2 linked regions of the Caenorhabditis elegans genome follow. The protein of the gene in region 1 interacts with the protein of each later gene in a pairwise test. Each region holds a gene or a part of one and is shown on either strand. Other genes may lie near its edges.

What was found.
Region 2: the proteins of uaf-1 (region 1) and mel-11 interact in a two-hybrid assay, tested with the Caenorhabditis elegans proteins (one large-scale study listed by BioGRID).

Annotation. Positions count from the first base shown.
Region 1 is NC_003281.10:1,072,703-1,080,257, forward strand, and holds the start of uaf-1 (Splicing factor U2AF 65 kDa subunit), read right to left. Parts: upstream 3,854-7,555; coding exon 3,624-3,853; intron 1,774-3,623; coding exon 1,478-1,773; intron 1-1,477. Other genes in the region: Ras-related protein Rab-18, read right to left, coding at 6,980-7,204, 7,256-7,509. UniProt on the Caenorhabditis elegans protein: Necessary for the splicing of pre-mRNA. Binds to the polypyrimidine tract of introns early during spliceosome assembly.
Region 2 is NC_003280.10:9,355,340-9,362,611, forward strand, and holds the start of mel-11 (cGMP-dependent protein kinase interacting domain-containing protein), read left to right. Parts: upstream 1-3,191; 5' UTR 3,192-3,194; coding exon 3,195-3,275; intron 3,276-4,585; coding exon 4,586-4,786; intron 4,787-5,350; coding exon 5,351-5,905; intron 5,906-6,309; coding exon 6,310-6,527; intron 6,528-6,704; coding exon 6,705-7,034; intron 7,035-7,272.

The sequences.
Region 1 (7,555 bases):
TTTGCCACGGAACAGCGAGAGAATTCAAAAATTCAGTGAAGTTTTTCGAATTTTCTAGATAAAAATTGACACTTTTTGATTTTTCGACAGTTTTTCAGCACTGAAAAATCAAAATCAGGGCAAAAATTTAGTTTTTTTTCGTAACTTTGTCAGATTTTTGCACACTATTTTCCGATTTTTAAATCAAAATTCAACCAAAAACTGGAATAATTTTATTTTTTGACTTTTTTAACGGTAATTTTGAGCTTTTGAAGCAAAAAATCTGGCAAAATTGCACTTTTTACAGAATTTTATTTGGAAAAATCGAAAATTTGGGCAGAGGTTCCCCGGGAAAGTGGTCAAATGTGCTCCTGTGAGCAATTTCGGGTGGAAAATTCCAAAATTTTGTAATTTCTAATGCAAAAGTTTGGAATTTTCACACCAAAATCACCGATAGAGCACATTTGCCACGGAAAATTGAATTTTAATCTGAGAGTTTAGCACATTTTTGCGAGAAAAACTGAAAAAAAAATTTTGCAGTTTTCTGAGTAAAATTGGTTAATTTTTTCAGGATTTTCCTGAATTTTGGGCTCCGAGAGCATTTTTGGATACTAATTCCACATTTTTCAATTTTTCTCGAATTTTCACGTGAAAAACGGCAATTTTCACGAATTTTCCCGAGTTTTTAGTAAAAATATCCAATTTTTATTGAATTTTTCAGAGTTTTCAGTGAAAAAATCCAATTTTTCCGAATTTTCAGTAAAAAATCCAATTTTTCCGATTTTTCAGTGAAAAATTCAAATTTTCCCGAATTTTCACGTGAAAAACGGCAATTTTCACGAATTTTCCCGAGTTTTTAGTAAAAATATCCAATTTTTATTGAATTTTTCAGAGTTTTCAGTGAAAAAATCCAATTTTTCCGAATTTTCAGTAAAAAATCCAATTTTTCCGATTTTTCAGTGAAAAATTCAAATTTTCCCGAATTTTCACGTGAAAAACGGCAATTTTCACGAATTTTCCCGAGTTTTTAGTAAAAATATCCAATTTTTATTGAATTTTCGATGAAAAATTCGAATTTTTCCGAATTTTCGATGAAAAATTCGAATTTTTCCGAATTTTCAGTGAAAAAATCGAATTTTCTCGAATTTTCAGTGAAAACTGCCAATTTTCTCGAATTTTTCCGAATTTTCAGTGAAAACTGCCAATTTTCTCGAATTTTTCCGAATTTTCAGGCAAAAACTGCCAATTTTCTCGAATTTTTCCGAATTTTCAGTGAAAACTGCCAATTTTCTCGAATTTTTCCGAATTTTCAGTGAAAACTGCCAATTTTCTCGAATTTTTCCGAATTTTCAGTGAAAACTGCCAATTTTCTCGAATTTTTCCGAATTTTCAGTGAAAACTGCCAATTTTCTCGAATTTTTCCGAATTTTCAGGCAAAAACCGCCAATTTTCTCGAATTTTTCCGAATTGTCAGGCGAAAAATTCCATTTTTCCGTACCAACAACGGGCACTGCAGACTGTACAGATCCACGTGGAACCTGTCCAGCCGCCTGCATATTCTTGTACTCCATCGGTGTAGTTGTCTCGAATCCAGTCGGCGGAACATCCCAGAATCGGTACTTTTTGGGCTCACGAGGCTTCTGGGGCTCCGGCTCACGGCGCGAACGGGCTTCATCATCACCTCCACGACGTCTCGGCTCATCACGACCACCACCGCCTCGACGACGTTCACGGGATCGAGAACGATCACGATCACCTCCACCTCCACCACCACGACGTTCTCCACGATCACGACTGAAAATGGGGGGTTTTTGGGGTTTTTTGCCGGGAAAAATCGATTTTTTTGCGATTTTTTAGGTTAAAAAATGCGGATTTTCAGTGACTTTCAGCTAAAATCGCAATTTTCCAGTGTAAAAATCGATTTTTTTTGCAATTTTTTGGCTAGAAAAATTGCAATTTTTGGCAGTTTCGCAGGTTTTTGGCGGGAAAAATCGATTTTTTCGCGATTTTTTGGCTAGAAAAATGAGTTTTCATGCAGAAAAATTGCAATTTTTGGCAGTTTCGCAGGTTTTTGGCGGGAAAAATCGATTTTCTCGCGATTTTTTGGCTAGAAAAATGAGTTTTCATGCAGAAAAATTGCAATTTTTGGCAGCTTCGCAGGTTTTTGGCGGGAAAAATCGATTTTTTGCGATTTTTTAGGTTAAAAAATGCGGATTTTCAGTGATTTTCAGCTAAAATCGCAATTTTCCAGGGGAAAAATCGATTTTTGCGCACTTTTTTGGCTAGAAAAATGAGTTTTCATGCAGAAAAATTGCAATTTTTGTCAGATTCGCGCAGGTTTTTGGAAGGAAAAATCGATTTTTTAAGTTAAAAATGTAAATTTTCGCAATTTTCCACTGGAAATTCGATTTTTCGCCAACTTTTGGACAGAAAATTTGACTTTTCCGTGGAAACTCAGCTAAAATTGCGATTTTTTGAAGGTTTTTGGGCGGAAAGATGGATTTTTCGCAAATTTTTGGACAGAAAAACCATTCTTATTGCGTTTTTCAGTACAATTTGAGTAAAAACCGCCACTTTTTATTGTAAAAATTCAAAATTTTTAGGTAAAATTTGACCAAAGAACGCAATTTTCCACTGGAAAATCGATTTTTTGCGGTTTTTTGGACAGAAAATTAGACTTTTCAATGGAAATTCAGCTAAAATTGGGACTTTTTGGAGGTTTTTGGGCGGAAAAATGCGAATTTTTTTGGTGGAATTTAATTAAAAAATCTATTTTTGGCGAGTTTTTGAACAGGAAAATGGATTTTATCGTTACTTTTTAGGTTAAAAAAATGGGAATTTTCGTGGGAAATTTAGCTAAAATTGCGATTTCTCGCTTCCACGACTGAAAATTTCGGGGTTTTCGGCAGGAAAAATCGATATTTTACAACTTTTTAGGTTAAAAAATGGGAATTTTCGGTGGAATTTGACCAAAAAACGCAATTTTCCAACTGAAAATCGAATTTTTGCAAACTTTTGGACAGAAAATTTGACTTTTCCGTGGAAATTCAGCTAAAATTGCAATTTTTTGGAGGTTTTTGGAAGGAAAAATCGATTTTTTGCGATTTTTCAAAGTAAAAAATGCGAATTTTCGGTGGATTTTCAGCTAAAATTGCATCTTTTCCGCTTTTCCTGTGAAAAAATCGATTTTTCATAGATTTTTGGCAAAGAAAATGAAAATTTTGGTGGATTTCTTCAAGCAAAAATCGATTTTTTAAAGAGTTTTTTGGCAGGAAAAATGGGATTTTCGGTAGTGTTTTTCATGGAAAATCATCAAATTTCGCTCTGAAAATCCGATTTTGGGTCAATTTTCTTCAAATTTAGACCATTTTCTAGCGGAAAACTCGATTTTCGCAGAGTTTTCGACGAAAATCCTCGAATTTTTGCTCTAAAAATGTTGATTTTCTGGGTTTGAAGTCATTTTTAAGCCGTTTTTCATGCAAAAAGCGATTTTCAGCGTAATTCTGGCCAAAAAAAAACAAAATTTCCTCCTAAAAATCCGATTTTGGGTCAATTTTCTAGCGGAAAACTCGATTTTCGCCGAGTTTTCCACGAAAATTCTCGAATATTCCGTCAAAAAATGCAATTTTTTCCAGCTTAAGCACCTTCTCGAGCGTCTTCTCGTATCGCGATCTCTACTTCTCGATCGTTTTCTCTTTTTCCGATCATTATCATCCTCTCCACCACCACCACCAGTCGATGATTTCAGATTTTCTTCATTTTCCAGTGGTCCAGTGGTCGGCTGAATCGCTTCGAGACCTCCTTCACGTTGAGCAACGTCCAAAAATTGGCGTTCAATATCTTCAAGTTTCATGCCATCCTGGTGATCACTCATCTGGAAAATTGGGAATTTTCTTTAAAAAATAGAGCTGAAAATCCGGAGAAAATGGATGGAAAAATTTGAAAATTTGGGCAGAGGTTCCCCGGGAAAGTGGTCAAATGTGCTCCTGTGAGCAATTTCGGGTGGAAAATTCCAAAATTTTGTAATTTCTAATGCAAAAGTTTGGAATTTTCACACCAAAATCACCGATAGAGCACATTTGCCACGGAAAATTGAATTTTAATCTGAGAGTTTAGCACATTTTTGCGAGAAAAACTGAAAAAAAAATTTTGCAGTTTTCTGAGTAAAATTGGTTAATTTTTTCAGGATTTTCCTGAATTTTGGGCTCCGAGAGCATTTTTGGATACTAATTCCACATTTTTCAATTTTTCTCGAATTTTCACGTGAAAAACGGCAATTTTCACGAATTTTCCCGAGTTTTTAGTAAAAATATCCAATTTTTATTGAATTTTTCAGAGTTTTCAGTGAAAAATTCCAATTTTTCCGAATTTTCTGAAAAAAAAAACCGAAAATTCGGAGAAATTCACGAAAAAATGGGTTTTTTTAATGGAAAAATAGCTGAAAATTCGGTGGAAATCGCGAAAAAATGAGTTTCTCTGAAAAAAAAAATAGCCGAAAATCAGGGGAAAACCGCGGAAAAATGGAGACAATTGGGCGAAAATGAGGAAATTTGGCGATTTTTTGGAAAAATCGTTGAAAATTCGGTGGAAATCGCGAAAAAATGGAGGTTTTTCTGAAAAAATAGCTGAAAAACCCGACAAAATGGCGAAAATATGGAAAAAAATAGGGTGAAAGTGAGAAAATTTGGAGTTTTTCTGGAAAAAATTGCTCAAAATCGCGAAAAAATGGAGAAAATTGGACGAAAATGAGGAAATTTGGTGATTTTTTAAAAAATTGCTTAAAATTCGGTGAAAATGCTGGAAAAATAGCTCCAAAACGATAAATTGTGAGAAAATAAACGGTATTTGAGTGAATTTGCCGAAAAAATAGGAGTTTTTCTGGAAAAAATAGCTGAAAATCCCGAGAAAATGGCGAAAATATGGAATAAAAAGGTTGGAAATGAAGAAATTTGGGGTTTTTTGGCGAAAAATTGTTTAAAATTCGGGAAAAACCGCGAAAAAATGGAGAAAATAGGTTGGAAATGAGGAAATTTGGTGATTTTTTTACGAAAAAAAAAGAAAATTCGGTGAAAATGCTGGAAAAAAGAGCTCCTCGCTAAAATAGGCGAAATTTGAGTGAATTTGCCGGAAAAAACTGAGATTTTTCTGATAAAATAGCTGAAAATTCGGTGAAAATCGATAAAAAATAGCTTAAATGATGAAAAATCGCTGAAAAATGAGATTTTGCTGAAAAATAGGTAGAATCTATAAAATTTCGGGGAAAATGATGGAAATAATAGAAAAATGGGTAAAAGCACACACAAAATTAGGCTGAAAATCAATAAAATTAGGTGAAAAATGACAAAAATCTCCCAAAAAAATCGATAAAAAAATAGCTGAAAATCTGCAAAAAATCGATGAAGATATGCTGAAAATCGCTGAAAACGAGAGAAAAAATAACACAAAAATCCAATAAATTACAGGAAAAATGTTGCAATTTTATAGCAAAAAAACGGGGCTTAAAGGCACTGAAAATGTGTGAAATTTGACAAGAATTATGTGAAATTGGGGGATTTTCGGGTGGTTTTTTGTACAATTTAGCGGGGAAAATGGACGAATTTTACATGAAAAATGGGGGAATTTTGGGGGAAAATCGACCTAATTTAGGTAAAAATCGATAAATTTTGCATGGAAAACGGGGATTTTTCGCGGAAAAATCGATGAATTTTGCACATTAAAAACAGCAATTTTGGGGAAAAATTGACAATTTTAAGACAAAATTGGCATTTTTACATGGAAAAGAACTTTTTTTTTAGGTGAAAATCGATGAATTGTGCATGAAAAACCAGCGATTTTAGGTCAAAATTGACATTTTACATGAAAAAAGGGCCTAATTTAGGTAAAAATCGATAAATTTTGCGTGGAAAATAGCTATTTTAAGTGAAAATCGATGAATTTTACACGGAAAAACGACAATTTTGGGGGAAAATTGGCGATTTTAGGCCAAAATTTGCATTTTTGCTCGGAAAAATGGCTAATTTAGGTGAAAATCGATAAATGTTACATGAAAATTGGAAATTTTGAGCCGAAATTGGTAATTTTACATGGAAAACAGCGATTTTGGGGGAAAATTGTCGTTTTTACATGGAAAAAATGGCATTTTTACATGAAAAAGTGTGGCAATTTTAAGCCAAAATTGGTATTTTTGTATGGAAAATAGCTTTTTTAGATGAAAATCGATAAATTTTGCACGAAAAACGGCGATTTTTGAGAAAAATTGACATTTTTACATGAAAAAGTGGCAATTTTAAGCCAAAATCGACATTTCCTCATGGAAAATAGCTATTTTAGGTGAAAATCGATAAATTTTGAATGAAAAACGGGGATTTCAGGTGAAAATTGGCAATTTCAAGTCAAAATTGACATTTTTACAGGGAAAAATAGCTATTTTAGGTGAAAATCGATAAATTTTGCATCGAAAACAGCGATTTTGATGGGAAATTGGCGATTTTAAGCCAAAATCGGCGATTTTCCATGAAAAACGGCCATTATGGGGGAAAATTTGCGATTTTAAGCCAAAATCGGCGATTTTACATGAAAAAATGGTTATTTTAGGTCAAAATTTGGCAATTTACATGAAAAAAAACGGGCTATTTTAGGTGAAAATTGATGAATTTTGCATCGAAAACAGCGATTTTGCTGGGAAATTGGCGATTTTAGGGGAAAATTTGCATTTTTACATGGAAAAAGGCCTAATTTAGGTTAAAATCGATAAACTTTGCATGAAAAACCAGCGATTTTAAGCCAAAGTTGGACATTTTTATATGGAAAAAACGGCGATTTTGAGGGAAAATTGGCGATTTTAAACCGAAATTCACGTTTTTACATGGAAAAAACAGGATTTTAGGTCAAATTTTGACAATTTACATGAAAAAAACAGGATTTTAGGTGAAAATTGATGAATTTTACAGTAAAAATATCGATTTTATGTCAAAATGAACGAATTTTCCGCGAGAATTTCCTAGCATCCACACATTCCGCCGCCACCACTGGAGCCCGTCGGTTGTCCCAACCGAAAAGACGGGCGGTCATTGTCCCATAAGTCGGGCGTTTGAATGATTTTCTCGATAAGCTCCTCAAATGTGCACTGTACACCCTCCTTAGTCTTCGCAGAAGCTTCAATGAATAGTGTGCGGTGGCGTTTTGCGAATTTTAGGCCTTCCTCGCGGGTTACCACTCGATTTGGCTGAAAATTATTTTTTAGGCCAAAAATCGAACAAAATCGGCTTTTTCGCACCATATCAATCTTGTTCGCGACCATCATCTTGATAATATTGTCATTTGTGCAATAAGTATCGACTTCTTGCATCCAATGATTCAATTTCTCGAAGGAGCTGCGGCTAGTGACGTCATACACGCAAATTACGCCCTGTGCTCCACGATAATAGCTCGGCGTGAGGGTACGGAACCTCTCCTGGCCGGCGGTGTCCCAAATTGCGAGTTTTACACGATTTCCGTCGATTGCCATTGAAGTTACGCGGAAATCCACGCCTAAAAAACAATAAATTTAGGGTTTTTTTGGCCTAAAAATCAAAAA
Region 2 (7,272 bases), on another chromosome or scaffold:
ATTGAGCACTACGTTGGTCCCCTGCCATTCCCAAGCTGCTACTTCCTTTTGCTTATGCTTTTGAACATCTTTCTCTTTTCTTACTCTTCTCATCCAATTCTCTTCGTCAACCAATTCACACGCTTCTTGTCAATGTGTACATGTTCGTTTCCCTCCTCCTTCAAAACCAGCTGTTTTCCGTCCAAATCTCATCACTCTACTCCCAATTGATCCTTCGTACTTTTTATGTGGACCAGCTGATCTGATGATACTGCTGATAAAGTACATGTCTAGAGGGCTATTTTAAAAATAAAGTAGATATATTTTCTGAACATTTTGTTTTACTAGAATTGACTTGTAAGTTCTTCTATTGTTCAAAATTAGCGAAACATTTCTTTGACTCCATATCTTGTCTTCAGTCTTTGTTACCGCGATCAAATTCCTTTTCTTTGTATATACTTGTCCTATGATAGTGAACATCTCAGCGCCGCACCGCGAATACCTCGGAATAATCAATCCAAATTAAGGACATTCTTGATAATATTGTGGCGGAAGAGGCATAGGCGATCGTCAATTCATAATAGTCTAGATTTTCGGGGGAGAACTGTCCAACGAGGCGGTAATTTTTGAAAAAGGGAGTGTCCAATTTATACACCTGCTCGCGAATGATTAAAAAGAGCCAGCTGTTTTAACAGAATAATATACAGTAATAAGGATTTATTGAAATCTTTACCTTTTGGATTTCCGCCTGTCACTTCTTATAGACTGTAAAATTAACTTCCGTTGTTCATCCCTTTTCCGGTATAGATTCACACCTAGATACGAGACTTTCGGAGTCTCACAAGAAAGATCAATATCTTTGGCAATGGTTGAGTACACGAAAAGAACGCTTTGATCAGACAGTTATACACAAAGTTAGGTGATCTGATCAGTGTGCACTTGTACTCACAACTTCTCGAGACTCTATTATAGATGAACGTAGATGTTTGCTCATTCAATTTATGTGTGTTTTTTCACTTCAAAGAGTGCACACATAATTTATGTATTACACACACGTTCTTTGTATTCTATCTAGCTGCCCTGGGAAGTGTATCTCTAGTTTATGACATTCTGATGCTCGCCTGTGGCTTTGAGTACTCACGGTGACTGGGCCGTAAAGTTGATACGATTTCAAAACAAAACATTTTAGGTTTTTCTAACTTATTACATGCTTTTTCAATGATTGTTCTTTTGTACCTCATTTTTGAAGTGTTCTTGCGTGGGCAGTAAATACCATCTTGACCTGGTTCTTAAAAAACCGCAAATCGTTGACAAGTGCTAATAGTTGTCTCTTTCTCTCTATTTACAACCATTTTTTGTGTGATGCTGCTACCGAGATTTTTCAAGAGTTCCAAGAGCTTATTAGTAAGCGCTAACCATCACCACGACCACCAAGCAGCACAACAGGTTAAGGATGATGATGAATAAGAGAACGGTGAGAGGAGGATCGGGAGAAGGATGATGGGAAGAGAGGGCAACCAGCCAACTGCCGCTGTGTGTATAATGATGCGGGAAAAGAGAACAGAGCGAGAGAGTCGAAATATATTGAGCGGTGTTTAATAGACGCAGACACGCCGCGTGCAGGCGGAAAGTTTCAAGTACGTCCCTCCCGGTCTCTTTCTCTTGGATGATGGTGTATCTGCGTCTCGAATCACTAATTCTCTCTTTCTGTCTATATCGTTGAAAATAGAGAGAGAGAGAACGACCTATCCATCGACTTGTCGCCCCTAATCCCGGGGGCACTGTTCCATTTTTTCTCTGGAATTAGTTCAATGTGTCCGTTACTCGAAAATTGTTTTTTAATTTCTCATTTTCTGAACATTGAACCTAGATTTTTTAAACAATGAATTTTTAATTTAAATGCCATAGCCAATGTTTTATATTAACATTGATTGCAAAAAAAAAAGAAATGTTTCTTTCCAAAAATATAACATTTCTTTTGAAATATAAACATTGATTGGCAATTTTCAAAAATTTTAAGCGTTTTTTACAGAAATGCCTTGCCTTTTTCAATTATTTTTCCAAATTTGTTTAGTTAGTCTTCAATGACTCACCGCAAACTTTTTTTAGAAACTTTGGAAACTCTAAATATTTCATTTTATAAAATTTTTGAACATAGATATTTTACACCAATATTTTTAGAAAACAAATTGCACCGGAAATAGTGCCCAATTTCATAATATTTGTTCTCCGGTGTATCCACAATCCAAAACCACCTTTATCACATCACTTTATCTAATTCTCTAAGCCTTTTCTGATCTTCACTGCCTCACTATTTTCACCCACTTGCCGCACTTTTCAATGGATGAGTGGGAGTTGTATTGATTAGTATTATATTTATATATCCTTAAGGATATATTTTTAATGGCGGAGTCCATGGATAGTTTGCTTAAAATTATTGAAAATTGGTCCTAATGAACGAATATATATATTTAAAAATGGTTTTAAATTATTTATAAATTTGAAGTTTGAAATTTTTTTTTTCAGTTTTGCCAAAAAATTCAAATTGCACATTTTTGTTGCAAAATTAAAAAAAATTTAGAACCATTTATAAGTGTTTTATAATTATATACGGTATTCGATTTTTCGATTTTTGGTTTTTTATTTAACAAGAACGTTGCATTTTTTAGATTTTTTTTTTTAGAAAAACCCGTAAATTTTTTGATTTTTTGGTATTTCGGAAAACCGAAAAACCGGCAGATTTCGAAAATTCGGGTATTCACATTCCAAGATTTATACGCAAAAGCTATGAAACTTTAGTCAAAAGATTAATCGAATAGTTGTGGTCTCATATTTCAAAAGAAGGATGAACCGGGAAATGAGTGAACGTTAAAGTAGTGGTGGTGGGATATGAAGAGTAATTGACTTGGAGGTGGTCGAATACGCGGAATAAGTCTCCGGTTTCAGTCACACGCTAAACTGGTCATTTCTTGTGGGTGTCTGTGTGTGAATACGAGTCATTTTTCCCAAGCTTCATCGTTTGATCTATTTTTTCTCGTTTCCAAAACCATAATATTTTTACAAAATACTTTATATATTTTTTGGAATTTCTACCCATTATTGTATCAATGAAACGAACGTCATTTGTATCACTTTTCTCATCGTTCTTTGCTTTTCTGATTGAACCTATCTCAAACAACAACATTTTTTACTAAAAAAATTTCATATTTTGCAGAATGGGTCAAGATGACGAGGACGATGCGCATATGCTGCAAGCAAAGCAGCAAATCACTTTTAATGTTGTGAATAAGAGAAAGGTGAGCTTTTTTCAAAAGTTTGAAAACAAAATTCAACAAAAAAATAAATCTGTAATTTTTGCGAAAAAAAATTTGGTAAAAACCTCGTTTATCACAAATTAAAATAGTAAAATAAAACTAAAATTTTCTTCGTTTAAATTGAAGAAATTGTCTAAATTTATATTTAAATTTCAACATTATAAATTAAAAATCAGTTTGAAATTTCATTTTTGTTAAAAGTGATCTTCGAACTTTAAATATCAAATTTTTGGCCGACTTTCTTCGGTTTTTGCGCCAAAAGTACGGTACCCGGTCTCGACACGAAAGATTTCTGTTAAATGCGAAAAGTTATGCACCTTTAAAGGTTACTGTAACTTTCAAAAAGGAATTTTCATTTTTTTTTCCATAGTTTTCATAGTTGTCTTTTTTTGTTCAGTAAATTAATATATTTTCAAAAACGAAAAACGTTAAAAAAATCATGGAATTTCACAACAATAGTAGGTTGAAATTACAGTACTCTTTAAAGGCGCAAGCCTTTTTGCATTAAACATAAATGAATCGTTTCGAGACCGGGGACCCGTTTTTTGACGTGAAAATCTTTAAAAAATTTCATCTGCTTAATTTTCCAGTTTGAAGCTTGTTCAGTTTTTTTGTAGTTTTTTTTTTCGAATTAAAAATTTGAGAAATTTAAAATTATTCTAGAGAAAGTTTCTGAAAACACCTTGCTCTCTATGATTTTTTGTCTGAACCGTCGTTCTTCCTTCATTTTCCATGTTTCCTCCTCCACCCCCGTTCTCCATTTTTCCTGCCATTTTCCATACAAACACATTGACAATAAAAGTGAGTCAGCGGGCACAGGGACACGACGACGGCGACGACGACGACGTCTCTTTCGTCTCTTCTCCGGAAAAAAAACCACCAAAAGAGAACGTTTTTTGATCTTTTTTTGATAGTTTCCACAGGCTTCCGGTTGAACTTTTTTCTTATCAGTGTCAAGTTTTGACTCATTCTAATCGGACGATTATTCGTTTTATTTTTTTCCATTTGCTTTGAAACTTTTTCTCTTGATCATTCAAAAATTAATTTCTAAAAAAAATTACAAACCAGTAGGTATTTAGTGAACAAAAAAAAAACGACAATCACGACCGAAATCCAGTCGTTTATACTTGTTAATCAATTGTGCAAACAGGTGCAAACACAATTTGTGAGCTCTCTCGGCGTGTGCCAACTTTTACTCTTTTTTACGCCGAGGGTTCGAAGTTTAAACATTCAATAAATTTAATATTTTTTAAACAAAAAAAACCATTTATTTGTAATTTTTAAATTTTCAGGATCAATTGCGCCGTTGGCAGAGCAGCGAGATGAACGCAGAAGCAGCTCGGCGAACGAAACGTCCAAAAGTACAATTTCAAGACAGTGATATTTTTCTGTCGGCATGTATGTCTGGAGATGAAGAAGAAGTTGAAGAACTGTTGAACAAGGGTGCCAATATTAATACTTGTACAGTTGACGGGTTGACCGCATTGCATCAGGTGAGATTTGCATTTATTATTGACAATTTGGTACTTGTATCGTCCATATGTGAAGTTTCGTGAATTTTGTTTAAAAAAATACGATACCCGGTCTCGAGGTGAACCTAAAGGAGTACTGTAGTTTTTCTACAGTTTCTTCAAAATTGCACATGTTTTTCAATAAAAGTTAAACAAACGTTTGAAAACGTATGAAACATCGAGGAAAATCCTGCAACAACAGAGAGCAGGGCTGGAGCAACGAAATTACAAAAAAAAATGAAATTGATAAAAACAAAACGAATTTAATTTGGAATTTATTTTAGAAAACAACCTTAACTTTTTCTGGAAATAAAAGTTCAAAAATAAATTTTAAAAAAATTCTTTTTGAATCCTTAAAAAACACATTTTTCGTAAAAAAAAAGTTCTTTAAAAACAGCTACAGTACTCCTTTAAGGCGCACAATATTTTAAATTTGGTGCTTCGAGACCGTACTTTTGAAACAAATCGCAACGTTTTGCATATGGATAGAACATTGAAAAATTGAAATATTGCATAAACAAAACATTCGAAATTGAATATTTTCAGTCGGTAATTGATTCAAAACCCGAAATGGTTCGATTTCTTTGTGAAAAAGGAGCCGATGTGAATGCACAAGATAATGAAGGATGGACACCTCTTCACGCAGCTGCATGTTGTGGAAATGTGGCAATAGTCAGATATTTGTGTCAACATGGAGCCGATCTCTCAATAGTTAATAGTGATAAAGAGTTAGCACTTGATCTTGCAGTAGATGAACAATGTCGTGATTATCTTGACGATGATTACAAGCGACAAATGATTGATCTCGATGCTTGTAGAGATCAAGAACTTCAGACAATGTTGAAAGATGTGAATATGTGGATGAGTCAGGGAGAATATCGAGATATTCCTCACCACAGAACAGGTGGAACTGCAATGCATGTAGCTGCTGGGCGAGGATACACACAATTACTCGAATTACTTATCAAAGCGGGTGGAAATGTACGGGCACAGGATGTCGAAGGATGGACTCCGTTGCATGCGGCTGCACATTGGGCTGAACGAGATGCATGTAAAATATTATTGGAAAATGGAGCGGAATTATCGGATCTAACGTTTACGGTAGGGGTTTACAGTTTTTCTGTTGCGGTTTTCAAGACCTGGCGCCTGCTTGAAACCTACCAGCCACTCGCCTATTTTCTGTATTCTGGCGTGAATTTTCAAATTTCTTATCTTCGAATTTCAATTCGATGAAAATCAAATTTAAAAAATAAATGAGGAAGGCAGAGGTCGCCTTAATTAAGCCAGGCAGGCGTTTCGACGCCGACATGGAAGTCCTATCAAAGAAAAACGACAACAAAACTGAATTTAAAAACATTTGTCATACCAAAATATGTTTTTTCAAAGATAAAAAATATTATTTACTGAAAAAATGTACAAACTTTATTTTTATCAAAAGTATATAAATTCACACCAATTGCTTTAAATTTTTTTAAATTTTTATTTAAAAAAAAAACAATTTTCAGGGTGCTGACGTTCTTGGAGTAGCTGATAAAGAATGCATCGATTATCTTGTCGAGTTGGCTGACACTGTGAAAGTACAGAACAAGCGAAAATCACCGGGTAGTGGCTCCCAGCCACCAACTTCAATACTTCAGGAGAAGAATCATAGAATGCCGTCACACGAGGAACATGTTCTGACAAGTGAACGGAAACGAGATTTACAGCATAAGGATCAGCATAGGTGGGGGTTTAGAAATTAATAATTTGAAAATTTAATATTGGAAAGTTTTATTGGGAAAAATCTGAATCAGAATTTCCTCAAAAAAATATTTTAAAAACATTGCATGTTCACCCTCAATTATTCCACTATATCCTATCGCTTCTCTATTTTTTTGTCTATTTTTTTATATTTCTCCAGTGAAAACGAGTTTCTTCACTCGCATCCATCCACTGCATCAGTTGGCTCGACCACATCATCCAACACAAATACCACCACAACCACCATTGTTATCGGTGAAAATGATATTTCTGCTGCACAAAAAGATTCAAGAGAATCATCGAAAGAATCAGCTGTTGATGATGAAGAATATGTCGCAGAAGATGAAATGGAAGAAGCTGAAGAAGATGAAGAAGAAGAAGATGTTGAAGAAGAAGAGGAAGAAAAAAGTGAAGCTGAATTAAAAAATGGAAAAGAAATTTCACCGCTTCGATCGGAAACTACAAGTTCGAGGAGTATATCTATAACGAGGTGAGTGAGCAGGCTTTTGAGCTGGAAATTTATGTTTTCTCCTGCAATTTCCACCACCCTATGAGTTTGAAACTTCTCCCCTCTCATTCAGGGACACGTCTGCAAGCTTTTTATTTTCGAGAATTGCTCGTTTTAATTTCAAAAAAAAAACTGAATTTTGTTCTTAAACAGGTCACAATCAAACCTTTAAAAATCATTAAAATTCAAATTCAACTGAAAAGTGAATTTAAAAAATCTA